Caenorhabditis elegans: one gene and its partner. The protein of the gene in region 2 interacts with the protein of the main gene of each other region in a biochemical or structural test. Each region holds a gene or a part of one and is shown on either strand. Other genes may lie near its edges.

The links.
Region 1: the proteins of meg-3 (region 2) and pgl-3 form a complex in vitro, tested with the Caenorhabditis elegans proteins (one study listed by BioGRID).

The regions. Positions count from the first base shown.
Region 1 is NC_003283.11:4,754,180-4,759,256, reverse strand, and holds pgl-3 (Guanyl-specific ribonuclease pgl-3), read right to left. Parts: upstream 3,273-5,077; 5' UTR 3,248-3,272; coding exon 3,131-3,247; intron 3,085-3,130; coding exon 2,938-3,084; coding exon of another isoform or gene 2,934-2,937; intron 2,893-2,933; coding exon 2,534-2,892; intron 2,487-2,533; coding exon 2,146-2,486; intron 2,100-2,145; coding exon 1,957-2,099; intron 1,907-1,956; coding exon 1,735-1,906; intron 1,692-1,734; coding exon 1,309-1,691; intron 1,258-1,308; coding exon 838-1,257; 3' UTR 673-837; downstream 1-672. Other genes in the region: hil-4 (Histone H1.4), read right to left, coding at 3,957-4,439, 4,626-4,904. UniProt on the Caenorhabditis elegans protein: Guanyl-specific endoribonuclease which cleaves the phosphodiester bond in single-stranded RNA between the 3'-guanylic residue and the 5'-OH residue of adjacent nucleotide, resulting in the formation of a corresponding 2',3'-cyclic phosphate intermediate.
Region 2 is NC_003284.9:1,985,786-1,991,703, forward strand, and holds meg-3 (uncharacterized protein), read right to left. Parts: upstream 3,823-5,918; 5' UTR 3,821-3,822; coding exon 3,763-3,820; intron 3,718-3,762; coding exon 2,196-3,717; intron 2,150-2,195; coding exon 2,039-2,149; intron 1,993-2,038; coding exon 1,846-1,992; intron 1,798-1,845; coding exon 1,663-1,797; intron 1,532-1,662; coding exon 1,242-1,531; intron 1,194-1,241; coding exon 868-1,193; 3' UTR 684-867; downstream 1-683. Other genes in the region: Y40A1A.2 (F-box domain-containing protein), read left to right, coding at 4,949-5,032, 5,085-5,161, 5,208-5,262.

The DNA of each region.
Region 1 (5,077 bases), on a different chromosome or scaffold from region 2:
AGCTTGTGTCGATTTACGGGGTCCCGTTTTCGAAATCAATTAAAATCATTTATTTATCCATAGAATATTAAAACTATGCAAAAAGTGAGAGACTAGTACAGCGAAACGATTAAATTCATATCAGAAATCGAGCCCCGTAAATCGACACAAGCGCTACAGTAGTCATTTAAGGAAATACTGTAGTTTTCGCTACGAGATATTTTGCGCGTCAAATGTGTTGCGAAAATACGCTTTCTCGTAATTTTGTGTTCCCGTAATAACTTTCAACAGATTAATTGGAAAAAAAACTAGAAATGTAATGACGTCTTTGATTTTTCCATCGGAAAGTGTAAGTCTTAAAGCAACGAAAGTTTGAGACTACAGTAATCCTTAAAGGCGCGCACCTTTTCACAATCAATGAAAGTTTATCGTTTCGAGACCGAGCACCATATTTATTTCGGAAAGGCGTTTTAATCATTGCAAATTGTTTCCTCATCAAACTAAATATGTACATTCGGTAGGCTGCACCATCCTAGAACGGTAGCTACCGTACCTTTAATTCGATCAGCAATTCCTTGATATCACACACGAATTGTCCAGATTAGAGACACCACGACTATTTACAATGATGACATCACTAATTATCCCACGCATTACTTTTAAGTCTGAAAGCGAAATTCATCTGATTCCTATAGAAGTACAAACATTTACTTGGATCACAATAAAACGGGGTTCAATAAATAAAACATGATTTGGGAAATTTTACATCATTTAGAAAAAAGAGAACCTAAAACTTGTGAATACGTAATCAGTACATATTCAAAATATACAACCAATAAAACGTTGAAATTTGAAGGCTTAGGAACCTCCACGGGATCCACCAAAGAATCCGGCACGTCCTCCCTGGTAACCACGAGATCCTTCGCCGTAACTTCCGCGTCCTCCTCGATCACCACCACGATATCCACGAGATCCATCTCCGGAACCTCCACGTCCACGATCGCCACCGTATGCTCCTCTTCCTCCACGATCGCCACCGCGACCACCTCCATAAGAGCCTCTTCCAGACGTTCCGTTGCTGCTGGCAAACTGTCCGAATCCCGAAGCGACTGGCGCAGCGCCGAACCCACTAACTTTGTATTCGTTAACCGGAGTAGCAAGAGGCACTGGAGTCGCATCGCCTGATCCCCATGCGGTTCCAGTTCGTTCTTGTGGTTGCGGAGAAACCTTGGTGATCGTTGTATCTTCTTCTTGTTCTTCCTCCAAAGTCGAGATCTTCTGAAAATCGGTTATTATATTAAATACAAAATAAATTTAAAAAATTGTTACCGGTGGCAGAGCAACAGATTTTGTCGGAGAATCCCAACCATCGCTAGAAAATTGAACAGGTGAGGCAGTTGATGGAGTATTGTCATTCTTCTCCGCATTTAGTTTCTCCGGAATGACATCATGGGCAGCCACGGTAACACTTTCTCCGATGATCTTTGCAGAATTGAGCACATTCGCCAAGTCTGTTCCTTCACATGGAATCGTTTGACGACTGAATGGCATCTTTTCAACAGTTACTACTTGAGCTGCAGTAGAGACGGTGGTCGGTCCATTGGAAGTTGTGGTCTGTTTTGCAGTTGCAGAAGGTTCCGACGAACTGCTCTTCTCCAGAGATTCAATGATACGATTCACGTGATCTTTAGAATCCAGTCCTTGGGCGAACTCTGTAAAATTTATTCGATTAAAATAAGAAGCCTTTTTGCTTACTTTTGAAGCTATCAACAAGAAGATTCTTGGATTTTGGGCTTAGGAATTGAAGCTGATTGAGTGATTTCTTCTCACTCTCCGATCCGTAGAACTCTGTGATCCACAATGCAAATTGGAGAGCATTATTCACATTCTCGATGACAGTTTCGTTGTTCAACTCGCTTTGAGGGAGCTGAAAAAGGAAAATATTGATTATAAGTTCACGTGAAGGAATAATTTTACCAGTGGGATTGGTTGAGAAAAGCACTGCTCGAGAACAGAGATTCTGAACTTTTTCAGCAATTCAGCGATTGCTCTTCTTCTCCACGTGCTCTCCAAGTCTTCAGCGAGGCCAACAAACGCCCAATCCTCGAATGACTTCATGGCTGAAAAAGAAACTGTTCAAAGAAGTTTGCAATCTTTGTAACTAACATCCCAAAAAGACTTGAATGATATGGCTTGCGAGGAACACGGCACTTTTGAAAACACTCCGTTGCAATCCGGGAAACACTTCCGCTCGGACACTCGACGGCATCAACGATTGGATTGTCCTGGAAGCATCACGCTTTCCATCAGCAAGTGAGCGAACGACGAGGAAAATCAATTGATATCCTAGCTGAGATTTCAGGACGAGTGATTCATCATCCTCGACGGCGCTGGCTTCTTCGAAGCGAGCAACGATGTGGGATACAGCTTTTTCGATAGATTCTTCTTGTGGAGTTAACAGAAGTTGGGTGAATGGGTCCACAGAATCAATCTTCGGTCCCTCGATCCTGAAAAACACTCCTGAGACACACAACATTAAATCATGATAACCTACATCAGCTTCTTCAACAACGGCTTGCAGGCCTCAAACGCATCTGTGACGTTGTCACGGATGATTTCAATTTCTTCCTGGAGCTCCTCCGATGCAAATCCAAGCAGTTTTGCCAAGACATAGACGTCGAAATCAAGATCCAAGGCGCTCGACAGTTCCGAGAGCTCGACAAACTTCTCTTCCGCTTCTTCCGCACCGAGAACTTTGAGCAAGACTTGCAGAATCTTGGCGTCATTCGACTTCTTTAGCTTTGTTTTTCGGGCGAGCATCGAGATTTTCTTTTCATCATCGATGATTGGAGCCAAATCATGAGCTTGTCCAAGCTGACTCAGCTTCTCAGCGCCAGAATCGAACTTTGGTCGCTGAAATGAATTATTAATACAAGAACATTTCGGAATTAAACCAACGAAGTCATCCCCGAGAATAAGGCAAACGTCCATGCCAGCAGCAAGCACGTAGGCACTGGAGTCATTTGGCAGGATCATCTCCGCAATTTCTTCATTGCTTGGGCGTTTGTCGGTGGCTCCCAAGACGAAAGCTGCAAGCTTGTTCGCCTGTAAGAAGAATATTTAACAAAAATCCCAATAGTTACAGTCAAACCTGTGCTATGTTGTTGACCAACAGCTCGTCATTGCTCGCGAGGTAATGGGCGAGATGGGGGAAAAAGTAGGACTTAATCCCATCGACCTCCACAATTTGTCGTTTGTTTGCTTCCATGTGAACTTTTTAATCACGAATAACACTGAAATTTTACGTGTAAAATGTTTAAATTCACCAAATGATGATTGAAAATAAGAAACTTCGAGCAAAAACACACAAAAAACTTTTTAAAAAAATTGACTTCTAAATCATCGAAAAGTTCGTGGAGGCTTTTCCAGTCGGGACCCATCGCGTGGGAAAAGGCGTGCGCCTTTAAAAATTAAATCAGTTTTTCAAAAAAAAATCTAGAAAGTTCTCTGAAAGTACTTTTCATTACCGAATTCGAAATATTGCGAGTAAATTTAAACAGAATTTGTTGCTTTATTTGAAAAAAGATCTGAATATTGCAAAAATTGCAAGTTAAGCCGATAAGTTGTGTATTTTAAGAAATCGAGCTTGATCAGTCGAATGAACTTGATATACAATTTTTCCAGAAGGAAAACAACAAAAATTTCCAAACGGTGAAGAAGACTGTCTGCTAGATGTTCCGGGACTTTATCTATCTTTTCCCGCTGTGAACACTGTTCCGAAAATCTGAAAGGTTTTGAAAAGACGAGAAAACGCTGAAACTTTATGCAGTAATTGGTTCATTGATAGGAATTGGTTTGTCAAAGGAACAATAAATAATGATTAGATGCAAAAAAACCAGTATCTGGGACACCTACAAGAGGGAGAGATATAATACAATGGTGAGATCGAAATTAATTTGATTATTCACACAATGTGATTAGGCCTCTGGGGCGGCGGCGGGAGCTTTCTTGGCTGGCTTGGCAGCGGCCTTCTTTGGAGCGGCTTTCATGGATGAAGACTTGGCGATCTTCTTGACTGGAGACTTGGTGACCTTGTTGACTGGAGACTTGGCGATCTTCTTCGGCGACTTGACCTTCTTCACCTTGACTTCAGTCTTCTTGGCCTTGTCTCCAGCGGCGGCCTTCTTGGCGACGGTCGTCGTAGCCTTCTTCTCTCCAGTGGCGGCCTTCTTGGCGACGGTCGTCGTAGCCTTCTTCTCTCCAGTGGCGGCCTTCTTGGCGACGGTCGTCGTAGCCTTCTTCTCTCCAGTGGCGTCCTTCTTTGCTGCAGCTGGCGACTTGGCCACGGAGGCTGTCTTCTCGGCAAGACGGAACCGTCCGTTGGCTCCATTTCCGCTAGCCTGGACGAAGGCGTTACTTTCAAGCCCCTTGTTAAGAGCTTTGCGGAGGTGAGCGTTGATCTGAAAGAAAGGTAAATTTAGGGAACGTCATCTCTACATAGTTTTTTTTCTGCTTTTCTGTTCGGCAATTTATTATTTTAAGAATTTTTAGGTTAAAAATGAAGTTATTGTAATCAAAAACCTGGTCAAAATTTTTCAGAAAAATTGATTTGAATTTAGCTTTTCTGCTTTAAATAAAACACATACCTTGTTAGCCTGATCTCCAAGCGTGTATTTTGTAGTGATATACTTGAGAATTGCGGCTCTGGAAGGTCCTTTGCGGTCCTTGATGCTGCTGATGGCTTCGGTGACCATATTGATGAATGGTGGATGGGCGGCATCGGCCTTGACCATTGGCACCTTGGTAGTCTTGGCCTTCGTAGCTTTTGAAGCCTTCGTAGCTTTTGAAGCCTTCGTAGCTTTTGAAGCTTTCGTTGGGGCTGCTGGAGTTTCGGTGGTGTCGGCGGCAACGGCGACGTCAGACATTGTTGAACGGATGAGTAGTGGTCACTTGGAGAGTGAGTGTGAGAAATGAGCGCGCGCCATCCTTATATACTCGCGCTCTACCACCCTGTCGGGACACATCTTGTTTGGCGCCGAATGCGAAATGGCGCGAAACTTGAGGGCACTTGACTAAATCACGCATAACTTTCTCGGTT
Region 2 (5,918 bases):
TAAGAAAATATGAAACCTTGGGTAAAAATAATAACTAAAAACACAAATATGATTTTCTTAGCATGTCAGTGCTTCCGCGCACAAGCTTCGTTTAGGCCTTGACTGAATTTCACAGTACTCGATACTCAATCAGCTGCCACTGTCACCTAACAATATCAATCTTTTAGATTTTTTGTGTGAAGCATCTCTGAATCAAGAGCATTCTTTGAACTTTAAATTTTACTTGATAACTAATGAGTCCTCCGAGAAAAACATGAAAAACCCTGAAGCGTGCCTACTTGTCCGCCATCGTTGGTGCGTTTCCGAAACTTGTGAAGGCCTGTAGCAATGCGGACGGTGATATTTTCGAATTCAAAAATGGTATCTTATTTAGTTTTTCTCGGAGAACAAAACCTATATGATTATTTGTTTAATGTGTTTTTTGTTTTGGTTTTATGAAGCTTCAAAGTAGTGCGCATAATTATGGCCCACCCTGTATTAAAAAACGGAACTTTTCCAAACAAATCTGAAGCATCTGTTTTAAAATTGAATCCGTGACTACTATTTTGCCTAATGACAGTATTTAAATTTCACAAAAAAGATCTATGAGAAGATATGTATATTTTCAAATCAGTTACCAATCATCTTTTCTTAAATCTATTTCGAACTTTTCTTTTATTCTAGTTCCACTCCAAATCTTAAAGAATCGGCAATTCTTTATCAATCATCCAGACAACAATATAATACTACCCTCTACAAGTATCTGGGTAGACATAATACAAATTCACAAGGAGAAGCGAGTTGAAATATAACAAGAGTGGATAAAGGGTTAATGAACAAGAATAACATACAATATAGTCTACAAGTAATAGATATAAATTGGTACAATCATTGATCTCTGGGTGGGTCAAAAATAGATTCCAGCCAATCCCGTTTTACATTCAAGTATTTGATAGGATCCGATTTCCGAAGATGTGCAAGTAAACACGCATCAGCAATTGCGATGATATTCTTCTGTCCGATACACTCCTTCCACAACATGTAGAGCATATTGGTGGAGTCTGTGGAGCTGCTCGTATCGTCCAGCCGAGCCTGAACAAACGTGGCAGCAATCTCTTGCATAACTGCAAGCTGGTGAGGATTTCCTAAGCAGGCTTCAGCAAAACGGAGGAACCATTTTCTGAACATATTTCGCACAGGTGGAACTCTTGGATCTGAAAAAATTAAAGTTTTCAAGATTAAATATGTCTTATCTTTCTTACCATCGGCATAAGGACCATCCAATCTTGGAATTGTCTCGGTGCAAAAATAATTCAAGTACAGCCATCTTTCAGGTGACATCCCGTGAATATTCAAATTCACTTTCAGGAGTTGTGTCTTTTCTTTGTAGTTAGTATCAATGTAGTCGTTAAAGTCTTGCTGAGCTTCCAGGAATGCTGTCAAGCTTTCAGAAATGCGAGGTGGTGGCGAGGTTGAAGCTGGATCTTGAGTGCAATCTTGAGAAGGATATTCGATCCGATCGGCTGATTCACAAGGAAGTGGAGCCGGATCACTGAAAGAAATTTACTGTACTCAGAAAATAATTTTACAGGATTTGAATCAAGTTTTGAGCTCAATCTTTTCAGCTTGTACATTATTTTCCATATGCTTGATCGATAGCGGATTTATTAACTTGGACCTTACCTGGTGATTTCGAAGGGCCATTTCCCAGCTTGATTGTATACTTCAGCTGCACGAATTTCACAATTGATTCCACTTCTCTTCGGAGTTGGGCAACCATTACAATCCGTGGAAACTGGAATTCCGGTAATGTAAGAGCTGGAAAAGAAAATATGGAAATGTTGTTCGTTTTTTGTAAAGTCATACCTTTCCAGCGCCACAACCTTTGGAGTCAACTTTTGAGCAATTCGCTTTCCTGAAGCTGTTTCTTTTCCAGAAACTGTGACGGAATACATTGGTGATTTTGTAGCTTTAGAATCAACCACGCCAAGTGACTTGTTCAACTTTGAAGACCTGTAAAAAATATAATGAAATAAGAAGCTCCAAGTGTAAAACTAACTTGCTGGATGATGTCAGACATCTTTCTCCGATCAAAGCCTTTGGAGTTGGGATGATTGACGAGGAAGGTGTTCTCTTTACATCCACATTGTTCCGATTGATCTGATCCTTGCTGAAATTTAAATTTTTACTAAAGATTTTACTATTTCACTACATACCTTGAGGAAGCACGATTTGCAGATTTCGGCATCTCAGGGTCCCCATGAAGTAAACGTCTCATTTCCTCAACGTTGGCATCAAAAGTTCCTGTCCACTTTCTTCTTGAGATCTTTGGAGGAGAACTCGGCTGTGGACTTGGCGTGGGTTCCTCGTCTTCTTCAACAGTTTCCAGTGTCACATCAAGACTGGCCAGACGGGAGGCACTACGAGAACTTCCACGGCGCTTGATCGACAGTGAAGTTTTCTTGGGAAGACTCACTGGTAGGGTTTGGTTGTTAGCATCCACAAAACTGGAGTCAAAGTCTTCACCAATTGAGCAATTTAGATCACTTGCTGGTAATGTCCGATTCAAATTGCTGCATTCTCCATGAGAGCTGGAAGGCAAGTGAATCTGTTGTCCGATCTTCATGCTGACAATTTCCAATAACTGTTCAATGGAGAGTTCAGTGCCGTCCTTGCTGAATACATTGGATACCAGGTTACGTTTAGCCGCTTCTTCAGAAGATTTGCATTTTTCAGTCAATTGTTTACTGCCTGCATTCTGCTTTGAATAAGTCGATTGTTGAAGTTTCTTAGTGACTGATCGAGATCTCCGACCACGGGCAGCATCCATGGAATCGTCTATGAACACATCGTCAGTTAATTCATCGTCATTTGTGTTGAAGTAAGTACGATCCTGGAAGTTGCTGCTACCACGTGATTTTTTTCTGTCGTTTCTTGATTTCTGTTGTTGATTTTTCATCGATGAGGTTTCATGTGTAGGAAATCCAGAGAAGCTCTGGTTCAAATTCCGCGACTTAATAGCATCGTGCTTTTGGACAAGACTAGAATTGATAACCTCCTTTCCAGATGCATTTTTATTGTCCTTATGGCCTTTTTTAAAAGCGTGTCCATGAACTCCAGCTTGAGCGTTGAAGCTTTTATTTCCAAGACATTGCTGGTGAACATTGGTTTGTCGCAGTTTCTTAGAATTATTTTCTTGCTTCTGGAACCCAACGGGAACGGAACTCACACTGAATGACTTATTCCCAGCGTGACCATAATTGTTCGAACCATCCGAGAAGCTTAGGCCATGTTGTCCATTCTGACGACTTCTACTACGTCTTGTGTTTGATTGCTGAACGTCGTCCTGATCTGTGGATACTGGGAATCTTCGTTCATACCAGCTGGAGCTATTGCGTGTTTGCAAGTTGCGGCGGAAGTCTGCAGAGAAGACGGGGGCCGTAGGAGGAATACTGTTAAAGGCGTTGCTGCCGTTTCCTTGAGCTGCATGCATCGACTGATTGAATACTCGACCATGTCGAGTCATCGAGTGATTCAGCTGTTGGCCATTCATGAATGTATTCCCGTTGAATGATACGGATCCGTGATGAGATATCCCCGATTTTGCACCATATTCACGGCTTGTTGACTGAGCACTGTCTTGTTTTGCGATCGGATTGAACAATTCGTCAAGAGTGATTTGGTGTTCCATGTTGTTGGATGCACTTTCCTGATTGCTACGACTACTTGAGCGGCGACCTGAATTTACAAATTGAATGAAAAATTGATGCAAAAAACTCTCACCTCCTCTTTTTCTTCTCGAGTTTGGCAGACCGCTTGGGTAAGGTTTTGAGGAACTCATACCTGCAAAAATCAAAACTTAATGAAATATTGAAATAAATGAAATTTAAAAAAATACAACGAAAAAGAAAGACAGAGATGAAAAAATGCAAACCGGTGGGACCACGCAACAAGAATGAACACTTGAGTTAGGGAGATTGAGAGAGTGTGAGAGGTAGAGAAAGAGCGCGCGGAAATAGTGTGTGGCGAGACGGACAGGGGCGATGCGTGCGCGCGGTGAAAAAATAGTTCAAATGCGGCAGGGAATCAACAAAACAACACACACCGTTTGCATGGTATCGATCAGTTTTCAAGACTATCCAAGACTATGGAGTTTTGAGGAACAATTGGATTGATAGTTAATTCTCTAAAATATTGGATAATCACTGAATAATAAATGAGAAGAATAAATTTATAAAAAGAAACAGGATAATAGGCAGTAAAGGAGATGTTAATTAGAAAACCTGTAAGCGAAAAATCAAAACTAAAATAATTTTTTATCTCAAACTTTTTAAAAGAAACGGCGGAACATAATCCTGAATTCCTGAAAACGAGATGTAAAGGGTCGTTAAAATAGCTCCAAAAACGGATTTGTGCAGAGTTTTGAAATTTTTTAAAATTATTTTAATATAGGAATACTAAGTACCTGGAAAGTAATAAAAACTGCTTTATATAGAACATTGAAATCTTTTGTTTTTTAACATAAATTTTAAAAAATGTTTGGATATCCCAAACTAATAAGGATTCTTAACATTATTAATTCATAAAAATATGAAAAAATGTCTATTCAAAGGATTTTTTTTGATCGAAGACTTCTAAAAAGTTACAAAAACTGAGAATCTTCAAGTAGAAATTTGGTATTCCTTGGGACTTCAGATTATTCATATTTTATTTTTCAAATTATTCTCGATGGTTTTTTAATTTAAAAAACAACTCATCGACATTGATGCTTTCAAACAGGATAGATCTAATGTTACTAATTTCCTGCTACTATAGCTACTGCTACATTGTGCACAATGTATGATGTCACACACTTGGAGGATTTATAACCACTTTCTATGTATCGATTATACCATTTAGACGCTCGCCTGCTCCGTTAGTCTGCTCAGTGTTTTTTTTTTTCGATTACATATTTGAGTTACCATTTGGTATGAGCTCCTTTATTTCACAACTCTCCTCATTTATTTGTCTGAGATTTTTTAAACGTCGAGGTATCAGGACCCCGTCAAACAAGGCAAGAACATATGTATTTTACAGTTTTTCGTTTAATTTTATTGATTTTTTAGATTCAACCCTTTCACCTACTTGGTTTACCGTATCCTGCATTTCGGAATATTATACATCAATTGAAGTTGACTGAAGTGTGAGTTGAAGTAGGTTTTAATTATCTAAATGTCTATTGTTTTCAGAATAGAACTATCAAAAAATTCTGGTGAAACCAGATGTAGATTTAAAAAAAATTAATCGAAAAATCTACAAACTTCTTATCGACAACCGTGTTTTCCATGTTGATCTACCACCATTCCGAAATCCTAGTGATTTATTTTCAAGCAAAGTGATTGCTATAGAGACTTCAGAAGACATGTATTATCCTTTTAAGTCTGGTAAACTACTGACTTTAAGATATCCAAACCTTTTTTCAATCAGCATTACCAACTTTTGCATCTCTACGTTTTGGTAATTTTTTGATTTTTCTGCTAGTTTTTTCTCAAACATGTGTGATTTGTTTAGTCTGAATGACCTTAAACATTTGAAAACTTTCAAAAAGTTTTTACCTAACCATGTTTTAACATTTCACGGTAGTTCAAAAATTTTAGACCGGAGGGGTTGCTCAGTCGGTAGTGATGACCAGGCAGTGTACCTGACTCTCAGTTCCGCAGTGCATAGCACTTAAGTCGAGATCGTTTTTTAATCTTCAATTAATATAAACCCCAAGTAAATAAAACTCTACTGAAACAATTCTCATGCATCGCCATATAAAACTGTAATTTTTTCAGTGACTATTCGAAATTTAAAAAATTCAATACAATGAGCTACGACCAACCGAATCAGTTGATCGAAATTTTGAATTCTATTGACCAATTATTTTTTTGTTGAAAACCTCGATTTACTGATCAGCC